3 linked regions of the Cricetulus griseus genome follow. The protein of the gene in region 1 interacts with the protein of each later gene in a biochemical or structural test. Links are inferred from orthologs where the notes say so. Each region holds a gene or a part of one and is shown in the gene's direction. Other genes may lie near its edges.

Region 1 (4,218 bases):
TAGTCCCAGAACTCAGGAGACTGAGGCAAGCAGATAATCTGATTTTTGAGGCCAGCCTAGTCTACACAGAGAGTTTTAACTAAAGCTATATAGAGAGGCCCTGACTCAAAAAATGAAAATAAATCTTTTTTTTTTTTTTTAGCTCTTCTAGTGCTTCAGTTAGCAAAAGTTGCAAATGAAAAAAAAAAAAATCTTTAAAGAAATATATAAATACCTGGATAGCCAAACCACCAATGGATTCAGTAGTTTCAGTTGACCTGTTGTGACACTGGCCTTATTTGTGTGTGTTTACAGAACTATTTCTAGAGGAACCTACAGAGACATAAAGAACTATGTCCTAAATTGATATAAGTCTGCTGTCTTAGTTTCTTTTCTGTTGCTGGGTTTTTTGTGGGTTTTTTTTTTTGTTTGTTTGTTTTTTGTTTTTTCGAGACAGGGTTTCTCTGTGGCTTTGGAGGCTGCCCTGGAACTAGCTCTTGTAGACCAGGCTGGTCTCGAACTCACAGAGATCCTCCTGTCTCTGCCTCCTGAGTGCTGGGATTAAAGGCGTGCACCACCAATGCCCGGCTTTCTGTTGCTGTTTTAAGACCCCATGACTAAGGCAACTTATAAAAGAAATGTTTATTTTATGGTTTACAGTTTCAGAGGGCTAGAGTCCATGATGGCACTGAAGTGACAAGGCAAGAGCTCACATCTTAATCCACTAGTTGGGAGTCAGAAAGAGAGGGACACTGGGAATAATATGAGTCTTTTGAAACCTCAAAGCCTACCCCCAGTAACACACCTCCTCCAATAAGTCAACCCCTCCTAATTCTTGCCAGTTCCACCAGCTGGAAACCAAGTATTCAGATATATGAGCCTGTAGGGGCCATTCTCACTCAAACCACCACCACATCTGTATAACACAGTTCTTTATCTGACCAAAAATTGAGCCATTCTGATCTGAGAATAATAGTGCATGCCTGTAATTCCAGGTCATCCTTAGCTAGTAGTAAGTTTAAAGTTAACTTACATGAGCCTGTCTCAAAACAGCAAAAAAGCTAATATCCAGTATCCAGTCACATATGAGTTTTCCAGAAACAGTACTTGGATCCTTCCCAAATTCTATATGTTGTATTTGGTTCTCTCTAGCATCTAAGATTTTCTCTCCCCTTCCCACTGGTAATCAGTTTTCCATAACTACATACATGAAGTAACTTATAAAGGAAACAAGTTTGGAGGCTGGAGAGATGGCCAGCAATTAAGAACATGTACTGTTCTTCTAGAAGACCTGAGTTTGGTTCCCAGCACCCATATCAGATAGCTCAGGACCACCTGTAACTCCAGTTCCAGAGGATCCAACACCCTCTTCTTGCCTCTACAGGCACTTAGCACACCATGTGGCATACACACATACATATAAATAAAAAATAAATTGGGTTTTGTTTTGATTTGCTTTTTTTTTTTTTTTTTTTTAGAAGGGGGCTGCAGAGATGACTCAGCAGTGTAAAGTACTTGTTCCTCTTGCGGAGGACCAAGGTTTGATTACTAGCATCTCCATGGTGGCTCACAAGCATCCATAACTCTAGTTCCAGGGGACCTGATGCCCTCTTCTGGCTTCTACAGGCACCAGGCATGCCTGTGATGCATAGGCATACATGCTGGCAAAATTCATAAAATAAATCTTTTTTAAAATCTTTGAAATAGATTAATTTTGGCTTACTGCTTTGGAGGTTTTGGTCCATTGTAATTGGTAGTGCTGTTTTGAGTCCTGTGGTGAAGTAGCACATTGCTACAAGAGTATATAGCAGAGGGGAAAAAAAAGGATTAAGACCAGCCAGGGTTACAGTCCATGCTTCAAGTGCATGTTCTTGAAGAGCTCCCATTAGACACCCCCCTGTCGCTCCACTTGGAAGAATAAGCCTTTGACACTTGGACTTTAGGAATGTTTTCAGATCCAGGCTATAGCCCCTACCCTTGTACATCTTAATTCTGACCTAATCCCCCCACCAAAAAAAAAAAAAATCCCAGAGGGTCCCACCATGTGGTGGTTCCTTGTCCACAGGAGGTTAGTCTAAAGGCCCAAATAAGCTCAGGTTTGAGGGGTTTGCCCAGGAGTGGTGTGTGTGCTGTGACACTTAACCTGTAGGTAGGGTACCTATTTGTCCACTGATGCTGATGCTTAGCCTAGTCCCCAGGTCAAAATAGTAATACTCATTTTCTCTACTGAAAGGATCCTGGGGAATCTTCATCATCCATCCTTCCAGGGGTTTGTGTCATCCCAGGATGCTGGGTAAGCGAAGTGAAGTTCTATAAAGTGATATGGCTGTGTCTGGGGCCTCTGCCTCCTGTTGGCCCTGTGCCCAGAGTGTACTTTGTCATCTCAGAGAGACCACTGGTCTTAGATCTTAGCCATTGGAAGCTCTTTCCCAGGACTGCCTCAGGATTTTCTGCTTCAGTCTCTTTCTCTGGTGGGATGCCCACCCCTACTGGAGCCCAGACATAACTGTGGGTGGTGTCCTAATGAATCCTCATCAGAGAGCCTAGGCTCTTGAACTGTCGAATTGTTTGCTTCTTCATTTGTTTGTTTTGGCTGCTTGAGTCAAGGTCTTACTGTCTCTGTGGCCTAGGCTGGCTTTGAACTCACTGTATAGCCTGGGCTGCCTCAGACTTAGTCCCTAGTGCTGGGATTGTACACCTGTGCCACCATGCCCAGCTCAGCAAATCACCTTGCTCAAGTGTGGTGGTTGCTTTTCTTCCTCATCTACACTTAGCAGTTGAGGAGTAATCTAGGAGAATATCCTAAAGACTTCCAGCTACAGATAAAAATACTGCTCCCTTGGCAAGGGTTGCTGTTGCCTCCAATAAAAAGGCCTAGGCCCATCCCAGACCACAGCAGCTCCTACTGTTCTCAGTTCATTCTTAGGAGTGGCTTTGCCAACCTGATGACTAAAAAGATGATGTGACTACCCAAGACCAAGACGAAGCCACTGGTCCATGTCAGTCAGTTTCTCATCTGTTCACATGGCAATCCCTTTGGGACTGCTCTGTGCACATGTAAACTCTCCCTTGGCCTGTCTCCAATGATCTTCCAGACTCTTTGGTCTGCCATTTTCACAAGTGAAAGAACTGAGTGTTTCAGAGAGATGGAGTGACCCATCAGGGTGATAAGGCTCAAAGATCCTCCCCAAGCTATGGCCTCACCACAAATGAACCTCAGCATGGCAAGCCACATCTGTCTGAGGTGGCCATGGTATCTGAATTCAGCCATATTCAGAGTAAGCAGGTGCTTTTGAGTCTGACTGGCTTTCCTGGTGGCCAGGCCACTAGAGTGAAAGACACCAAGCTGCTAACATTTCAGTCCCTTTGAGATTTTTGTGAATTTTTATGTATGTGTGGATGTATGTATGTATGTGAGGGTGTAGGATCCCCTGGAACTGGAGTTACAGGTACGTGTAAGCTGCCACGTCGGGGCTGGGAATTGAACCCAGGACCTTTGAAAGAACAACCAGTACTCTTAATTGCTGAGCCATCTTTCCAGCCCCACTCTGACATTCTTGACTTATCTGTGCCTGGCCACTGGCTGTCTGTAGGACACCATCTGTGAATACTGGACTAGCTCCCAATGAACTTTCTGGAACCCCAGCTGTGCTAGGAAGGCACAGTGTGGCTGGACACCACCTGTGAATACTGGACTAGCTCCCAATGAACTTTCTGGAACCCCAGCTGTGCTAGGAAGGCACAGTGTGGCTGGAGGAAGATGAAGTTTAAGACCTCTGAGGCCTTCCACCACATATATCCAACTGCTATTTCTGGACTGTTATCCCTCCAGCCTTGGTTACTATGTCTACACAATGGGAATAACAAATCACAGCTAAATGAGATTGCCTCAGAGATTAGATGACACATAGGAACACACTCACCTACATTTATTTTCTCCCGTCATCTTGCCTTTGACAAAAGTGTCTGGCACACAGTTACTTAGTATGGCTCAGTGAAATAGATGGATGAAGTCACAGAACAGAGCAGAGGCCCTGAAGCAAGAGGGCTGTGGTGTAAGCAGGGCTGGGGATGCTGATGGACAGCTGTATTAGTTACTTTTTTCATTGCTGTGACAAGATACATGACAAGAAACAACTGAGGGAAGGAAGGGTTTGTTTTGGCTTGCAGGCTGAGAATATATCTTGTGGTAAGGAGGCATGGCTTCCAACATGTGAGGCAGCTGGTCATGCTGCACCA
Region 2 (3,941 bases), about 20 Mb from region 1:
CTCCAGCAGAGTGCTCAGGCCCCTGATGTCAGTGGCACAGTGGGAAACTGACCCTGTTCTGGCAGCACAGACTTGAAAGAGTACCCTGGGCAAGGAACAATGCTTGCTTAGCAGCTGGTAGGCATTGTGTTCAACCCCTGCATTGCATGAAAACAAAATTTAAAGATGGGCATCCAGAAGGAACGAGAATGGCTCCCTGCCTGTCCCCAGAGGGCAGGTTCCAGATAGCGATGTCCAGGCAAATGGACTAGAGCAAGGAACCAGTCTCACCATTCCTCCTCCATCAAATGGGAGTGTGACAGTTCCAATGTGCTGGGAACGAGAAGTCATGTACTTGGCCAGTGTCCTCGTTATTACTTTTCAGGGGCCTAAGGCTGGGCCACAGTAAACGGGACATTAAGAGTCTCCTCCCAGCCTGCCCTCACTTTTGGATCCAGCATCCTCTTGCAGCTCCGGCTGTGGCTAGAGCAAACAAGGAGAACTCCGAGCTGGCCGGGTCACGGCCGCCCAGCGTCAGGCCTTATGAATGACGCCGAACGGCGCCCGGCGACCTCTGACCCGCGGCGCCAGTCGGCCCCTCCCCCGCTGGCAGGTGGACAAGCCTCTGCGCCGGCCCGCCGTGGCGTCAACCTCCGCTGGCCCGTGGCCGCTGCCGCACTGGGCAGGGCGGGAGACTGCAGGGCTCACGGTGCCGCACCGGCGTCCGCTGGGGCCGCCTCCCGCACCTTGCAGCGTCTGCCGCCCGGCTACCCTCCAGCCGCCGCCCCGCCCGCACGCCTGCCCCCCCGGGCCGCAGCCTGCGCAGCTACCCCGCCCTCTCACCCTGGGATTGACACTGACTGAGGCCGCGCGCCTCAGCCAATCGGCGGCCTCGCAGGGCGAGCCCCAAGCCCTGTTGGGCTTCTCGGCCAATCACATGCATCCGACCGCCCGACTACGGCCTCGCGAGCCCGTGAGTGGCTGAGCGTCTGCAGCTCGCGTCAAGCATCCGGGAGCCTATGGTAGCGCGGGAAGGTTTCGGAGGGCCAATGGACAACGGCGCGAGGCTGTCTGTCAGGGAGGCCTGAACCAATGGGCGGCGGGGTGCGGGGGCGTCACGGACAGAGGACTTGGGCTGAGGCTCCCCCGCGGGCGGGCGCAGAGAGACGCGGGAAGCAGGGGCTGGGCGGGGGTCGTGGCGCCGCAGCCAGCGCAGCCAGCCCCAGGGGCCGCCGCCTCCGCTGCCCAGCACGCTCCGGGGACGCCGGCCGCCTTAGCACCCGCCGCGCCGCAGCTCCGGGACCGGTCCCGGCCGCGACGCCGCCGCGATGGGCAACGCCGCCGCCGCCAAGAAGGGCAGCGAGCAGGAGAGCGGTGAGTTCCCGGCCGTCACCCTAGTCCCGGCTGCTGCGGCCTGCCCTCGCTCTGGCCATCGCTGCATGGCCCCTCCCCCATGTGCCCCCCCATCCTGTCCGCCTGCACCCCTGCCTGCTGCCTGCTGCCTGTCCACGCTGGGGTCCGAGCACCGCAGAGGAACCTTGCCCCTGGTAGGGCTCCCGTGCCCATGGCCGACCATCCCCCACGTTAAAGGCCGTGCACCCCCACCCAGCTGTCACTGCCAACCATTGCATGCATGACCGCCGGGGCCCCAGATGGGGCCCTGTCACCACCCCACCCCCTCCTCTCCTAGTCCCTTTCCCCATATTCTAATCCCCCCACACTTCGTCACTCACCTTTTCCACACAGCGCCCCAATGCCTGACCCTGATCCAGCCTCCTGCCAATCTCGGGAGTGCTGTGGGGTCCACTCTGCAGGGACCTTAGCTACTTGGTGACCACACCCCTCCCCCTCCAGCCCCCGCCATCTTTCTCCTATCCCTGCTCGATTCTCCCATCTCCAAGCCCCCTTGCCCCATGAGCGTTTCCCAGGACCACCTCCTGCATTGTTTTCCCCTTTCTGTGTCACTTGGCATGGGGAACAAGATCTTTCTGGGTCCCTCTGCCCCTCTCATCCTGTCACTCTGCCTCCTCCATGTAAGCGTCTGGCCCTGGCTGGGGTGGGCAGACTGTTTATGAACCTAGAGAGCTGCTTCTGCGCTTCCAGATCCAAGTTCTAGCTGGTCTCGCTCAGAGCCATTGCGTCTGTCCTCTTTCTTGGGTTGCGGGTGGGGGAAATCGGCAGAGCACCCTCCCATCTCCTGGCCTGCCCTAAGCTCTGGGTTCCTTGGAAGGCCCCTCAATAAATGGTCGTTTCACAACTGCAGTTCTGTCATTCACCCAGTCCCTGGGACTGTTTCGCTCTGCCTGGTTCAAGGCTGAGAATGAAATGTGTTAGCAAGGGCTCATTCGACTTGAATTGGGATGGTCAGAAAGGAATTGCAAGGGTAGGGTAACGACACCCAGCAAAAGGTGACAGCTAATGATTTGGTTTGTTGAGGACAGATGGATACTGTGCATACCCTGGACTCATCCAAAGGGAGGTGTGTTCTACTCCCCCCTTCCCCACCCCAAACATGCTGAATTTTTCCAGCCAGGTAAAGAAACTGATTCTGTATTTGAAATGCCTTCAGAAGGACCTTGTGCCTGTTCCCAATGCTCTCACCTCTTAAAGTGGTGTAATTCTAAGCTAAAGCAGATCCCCTTCAGTTACCCAGAAATAGTCAGACCCACCAAAAGGGGGGAGGGGCTGTGACCAGCTCTGCCCTTCTCAGTGTTTGAGTCCCCAGAATGCCACCGAAGCCCAAGAACTTTCTGCCCCTCCCCCCTTTCAAACAGCGGGGCAGTCTAAAGAGGCCTGGCATGTCACTGATGGGCGGGGGACGGAGAGGCAAGTGCTTGTAGTTGAGGGCTTGATGACAGGAGCAGGTGGGTAGTGCCCAAAAAGGTCTTGGACTTGAGCTTGGAGGGGCCCAGGCAGAAGGGGAGGGCCATCCCCCTTGGCAGGTGAGGCCCACCAGGAGGTAGATGGTTCTGGCAGTGGGGTGTATATTGCAGTAGCCTTTTGAAAACTGAGGGGACATAGTGCTGAAAAAGCTTCAAGCATATCAGACACATTCAGCAGAAACTAAGAGCTACAGAGGATAAAGGGGTCCAAGAAAAAGATCAGTCTCCGAGTTGGCCAGCTGTTTTTGTTGGGATGAAATCCAGCTACTGTTTATCAGGCATCCAAGAGGGCTAACTTAAATGGGCTCTGTAGACAGACTTATTTTGATGACTTTTGTCCAAATGAGCCATCTGAGTTTGACACAGATGACATCATGCAGCAGAATTCACACCCAGATCTGTCTACCCAAAGATCTCTTGGACCCCAGAATGTTTCAACTTAGACATTCTTTTGTTTGTTTTAGCTTTTGAGACAAGGGTCTCTCTGTGTAGCTCCAGCTGACCCAGAACTCTTTCTGTAGATCAGGCTGGCCTCAAACTCATAGAGATTTGCTTGTCTCTGCTTCCCAAGTGCTGGGATTAAAGGCGTGCATCACCATGTCCAGCCTTCATTCATTCTTAAGCTGCCTCCACAGGAGTTAAACCCTAGCCATACTTTCTTAATTTAAAATGATAAAAACATACTGTGAATAATAGTGTATATTGGTGCTACCAGCGATTCAAGAGGCTGAGGCAGGATTGTTTGAGCCCAGGAATTAAAGGCTGGATTGGGTGACAGCAGAACCTTGTATCAAAATACAGATAAAATCTGTGTTCATCAAGATGGCCTAGCAGGTAAAGATGTTTGCTGCCAAGCATGCCAGTCTTGAGTTGTTTTCCTGGGACCTACATGGTGGAAGGGGAAAACTTAACTCCTACAAGTTGTCCTCTGACCTCCATAAGAGTGTGTGTGCACACACCATAAATGTAAAAAATTTAAAATATCAAACAGGCACAGCAACTCATAACTTTATCAAGCAAAAGAGGAACTGTGAGGCTGAAGGACCTGAGTTTGAAGCCAACCTGGGCTGCTATAAAGGA
Region 3 (4,107 bases), on another chromosome or scaffold:
GGAGACAGAAAGGAAGGGTGGTAACTCCTGCCATTCCATAAACACAGAAGGGGTGGTCAGGAGCTGAATATTCAGGGGTTCCATTGAAGCACACAGTTTAGTGGGAAGACAAATACTAAATAATAGCTGCCAACACTTTTATTTAGGTATTGAGGATTATTCTAAACCAGTAAATGTTCACAGCTTTAGGAAGTATACTGTATTTTTATTCCCAGTTCTCAAATAAGGTAACTGAGGCTCAGAAAGATTGAATTGCCTAAGGTCAACGAGTTGTCCTGAAATCGAGCTAGGTGGTATGATCCAGGAGTTCTCGATAATGTGTGCTAGCACTCACACCTGAAAATGTATCATTACAAAATTTCATAAAGTGCCATAAAAGTAAGAAAATGAGTATGCTTTCATCTACTCCTGCTTTTAGCCACCAATGCACAAAGCCTTTTTTTTTTTTTTATAAAAAGACATCCTCACTTTTATCTTTCATTACTGATCTAGGAGAGAACATTTATCTCTACGATTGGAAAGCATCACACAGCCAGCAAGACAGCTCTGCGAGTAAAGGCTATTGCACTATGCCTGACGACCAGAGAGTCACATCCCCCGTGGTGAAGAGAACCAACTCCCCAGATTGTTCTCTGACCTCCACACGTGCGCTGTGGCACCCAGAATGCCACACACATACGGAATAAATAAAAGAAAGAAAGAAAAGCAAGCAAACAACTTGCCCCCCCCCCACCTCACCCCTCTTGGTTTCCCTGATAAAACGGTGGCTGAAGGTTATTTTGTTTTGTTTTGTTTTTTTCTAATGATGCCCTTGATTCTCGCACCAGTCTAGAATGTCGGCACCCTGAGGGAAGGCTGCTAGCAGCTGGCTCTGCACAGTTTGAGGGCATCTCCCGAGTATACAGTCTAGCACAAGATCTTTGACCTTGGCATTTTCTTGGTTCAGGCTGCAGGTTTGGGACCCACGTGTGGGGCCTCTCCCCAGACCTCGGTGGTCCAGACCCTCCAAAACTCAAAATAACACTTTCGCACACTCGTTCCTTAGCTCTTGCAGGGTCTTCCCGGGAGGATCCCACAGCGTGAACCTTTCCGTTCGCTCGGTCCGAGTAGGCGGGTCGGGGACGGGACCCCCGCGTTCCCAGCCCCCTGCCGCAGGGGGCCCAGTTCGGGCGGCTCCCGGGGTGGGGCGGGGCCGGCGGCGGAAGGCCCCTCCCCGGGGCGGGGCGGGGCCAGCGGGGGGGGCGGGGCCGGCGGGCGGGCGGGCGCGGGGGTCCCTCCCTCCCTCGCTCTCTCCGGTAAAGTCTCGCGGTGCTGCCGGGCTCAGCCCCGTCTCCTCCTCTTGCTCCCTCGGCCGGGCGGCGGTGACTGTGCACCGACGTCGGCGCGGGCTGCACCGCCGCGTCCGCCCGCCCGCCTGCCCGCCCTCCAGTATGGCCACCACCGCCACCTGCACCCGCTTCACCGACGACTACCAGCTTTTCGAGGAGCTCGGCAAGTACGGCCCACCCGCCTCACGCGGCGGCCCCCCTCACCCTAGCCCAGACGCCCGGGCGCTATGCGGCTTCTCGCCCCGCCCCCCCGGCCCTGCACCGGCCGCTGCAGCGCCCCCTCGACCCGCCCCACCCCCAGCTTTTCCCGCGTGCTGCCTCGGGGTCCCTTGGCCCTCGGTTCCCTGTCCCGCAGTCCCCTCTGCTCCCTGCAGCAGCTGCCGGGCTGCTGCACCCGGCGCTGCCGCGGGAACTGCAGCCCCAGGACTGCTCCAGGGCGCCTTCCAGCCCCGCCCCTCCCGCACCCTTCAGACGCTCCCCTCTCTCGACCCCGCCTGCCCACCGCCCCCTCCCCACCCGGCTCCCGAGCCCACTCTGTATCTGGTCTCCCCAGTTCCCACGCGCCTGGCACTCAGGACCCTCCCCAGCTCTGCAGCTCCAGCCCCGCTGCGGTGCTCGGGTGTGGGGAGATGGTTAGTGCCGGGCCCCGCCCCCCGCTAGTGCCGCTTCCAGGATCCCAGCCTTGCTGCTGGGCAGTGCTGCGGCACCCCCGGCCCCTCCCCCCATCCCTGCAGTGGTCCCGGGAGCTGTGCGCCGCAGCCGCAGCATCCCCCTCCCCTCCGCACTGAACTGGCCGCCGCCGCCGCCGCCGCCGCAGCCTGGGTCCCCGCCACCCCCACCCACGGTGCGGAGCCTGGCCACTGCAGCCCCCGCTCTGCCCACCCCCTGGATATTTACAGAGCCCGAGATCGCAGCCCATTTGGCGGGTCATGCAGAGGAAAAATAGCTTGGGGAAGGGGAGTTACTGCTGTCAGACTCAGAACTGTCCTTCTATTTCCCTGCTGTCAGCCGAGCGGGGATGCTGTGGGTTTAAGCCAGTTTAGCGGGTCTTGAGCCTCACTTTGCCCAGGCTTAAGGGAAAATTCCTCAGGAAATCATACCTTCTGTTTAATCTACCCTTCCCTTATTCTTAATGATTTCTGTTGAGAGAAAGAGCAATGTCTCCCTGTTCCCTCGATCTCCTGGTTGCCTTTGCTGGGACCGCAAGGCTATCAGTGAGATGCAGCAGGTGTGTATTTGAAGCACCGCCCACCAGGAGTGTGGACAGTCTGAGGTTGGGGCTGTTGCTTTCTTTGCCCAAGAACTTAGATGACATGGTGGGAGCCAGGTGGTACTCCACCCACATCGTTTAGTGCCATGGGGTGGTCTCATCATTCTTGTGTTAGCCATTGGTTGTCAATACAAGTCTGGTGGTGGGAGCATCTCTGTCCTCATCTGAAGTATGTATGTCTGTGTCACTTTGGTTGGTTCCATGTCCCAGTTCTTTCCCCCTCTTCCCTCCAGGGGTGCCTTCTCAGTGGTCCGAAGGTGTGTGAAGAAAACATCTACGCAGGAATATGCAGCAAAAATCATCAATACCAAGAAGTTGTCAGCCCGAGGTGAGTGTTCCCTATCTGGTCCTCACCTTGAGGATCCTTCCAAAGATAGGTCTTCTGCAGATGCCCTAGGAGTTGGGGGAGTATGTGTTTTAGCACTTGGAGATTAGTTGGAATTTCAAGGTGGGTGGATTTTTGAAGCCAGACAAGGAGGTGTGAGGGAATTGGAAGTGCTCAGGAGAAGAAGGAAAAAAGTGATGCGGATGGCTGGAATGGCCGCCAAAGGATTGAGGAGGTTCAAGTTCTTAGTGGAAAATTGGTGGTAGGTGGTATGGAATGAAAAGCTCTTAATTTAGGGTATGTAGAGCCCCCCCTCTTTAGGGCAGTGATGGCCACGACATGCTTGTCCTAGCCTTGTGCCCTGGTGGTAACTTGGTATGGGAATGCAGTAAATGAGCAGTTCTGATGAATCTAGCCTCCCCTGCCCACCAGGAGGCAGAACAGACTCCCAAGGGAAGGGAATCTGTAAACATCAGGGGAGGCTGCTACTGGCGAGGGCTTCTGGGGAACAAATCCTACCAGATGAACTTGATTGCTTTTTTTGATCAAATTACAAAGTTGGTGATGAAGCAGCAGATGTAGTCTGCCCTGAGCAGAGGGTGATGATGCCTCATGGTCTAGAAACCCCAGTGGTGTGGTCTGTCTGTCTGGTCTGAGAGAGCCGCAGTGCCTCAGTGTGTGAGGAGCCTACCGCCCAAGGCCCTGGAGCCTCACTTGGGAGATTCTACTGAGTACCTAGGACTGGGAAGCCAGGGCCTGTCTTTAACACTTCGAATGTACAGTTTTGAAGCTGGTATTGGGTGCTTGCCAAGCTTACCTCATCTGATAGGTGTAGACCCAGCAGTGTGTGAAGTGAGAGGTGACTGGTTAATACAGGGGCCAGGTCCTGGAGAGCTTCAGGGAGTACCACAGGGACAAAGGTTATGCGACTCAGAGAAAGGAATTAGGGCTGGGCAATAGGATGCTCATAAATATATTAGGAGCCAGGACAGATGCCCTGGGGAAGATGTGGTCTTTGGCCAATAATGACTTGGGTATCACTAGGGCAAGATAATAGATGTCCCAAGCACCCAGAAGCTCTGAAATTCCACAGAGATGACAGTGGACTTCTGTTGTGTTGGCAGTTGTTCTGGGACCTGTTCCATGGGGCTGTGTCTGCCTCCTGGCCTGGGTGTCTTTCCCTA

Evidence for each region. The genes of interacting proteins can lie anywhere in the genome.
Region 2: of the proteins of Rrad (region 1) and Prkaca, one has a biochemical effect on the other in vitro, tested with the Homo sapiens proteins (2 studies listed by BioGRID). The link is inferred for Cricetulus griseus from reciprocal best matches to the Homo sapiens genes RRAD and PRKACA.
Region 3: of the proteins of Rrad (region 1) and Camk2g, one has a biochemical effect on the other in vitro, tested with the Homo sapiens proteins (2 studies listed by BioGRID, with this or other methods). The link is inferred for Cricetulus griseus from reciprocal best matches to the Homo sapiens genes RRAD and CAMK2G.

Annotation. Positions count from the first base shown.
Region 1 is NC_048596.1:180,903,060-180,907,277, reverse strand, and holds the start of Rrad (GTP-binding protein RAD), read left to right. Parts: upstream 1-1,418; 5' UTR 1,419-2,272; intron 2,273-4,218. UniProt on the Homo sapiens protein: May regulate basal voltage-dependent L-type Ca(2+) currents and be required for beta-adrenergic augmentation of Ca(2+) influx in cardiomyocytes, thereby regulating increases in heart rate and contractile force.
Region 2 is NC_048596.1:160,443,328-160,447,268, reverse strand, and holds the start of Prkaca (cAMP-dependent protein kinase catalytic subunit alpha), read left to right. Parts: upstream 1-1,141; 5' UTR 1,142-1,307; coding exon 1,308-1,353; intron 1,354-3,941.
Region 3 is NW_023276807.1:200,185,887-200,189,993, forward strand, and holds the start of Camk2g (calcium/calmodulin-dependent protein kinase type II subunit gamma), read left to right. Parts: upstream 1-1,307; 5' UTR 1,308-1,430; coding exon 1,431-1,495; intron 1,496-2,831; coding exon 2,832-2,926; intron 2,927-4,107.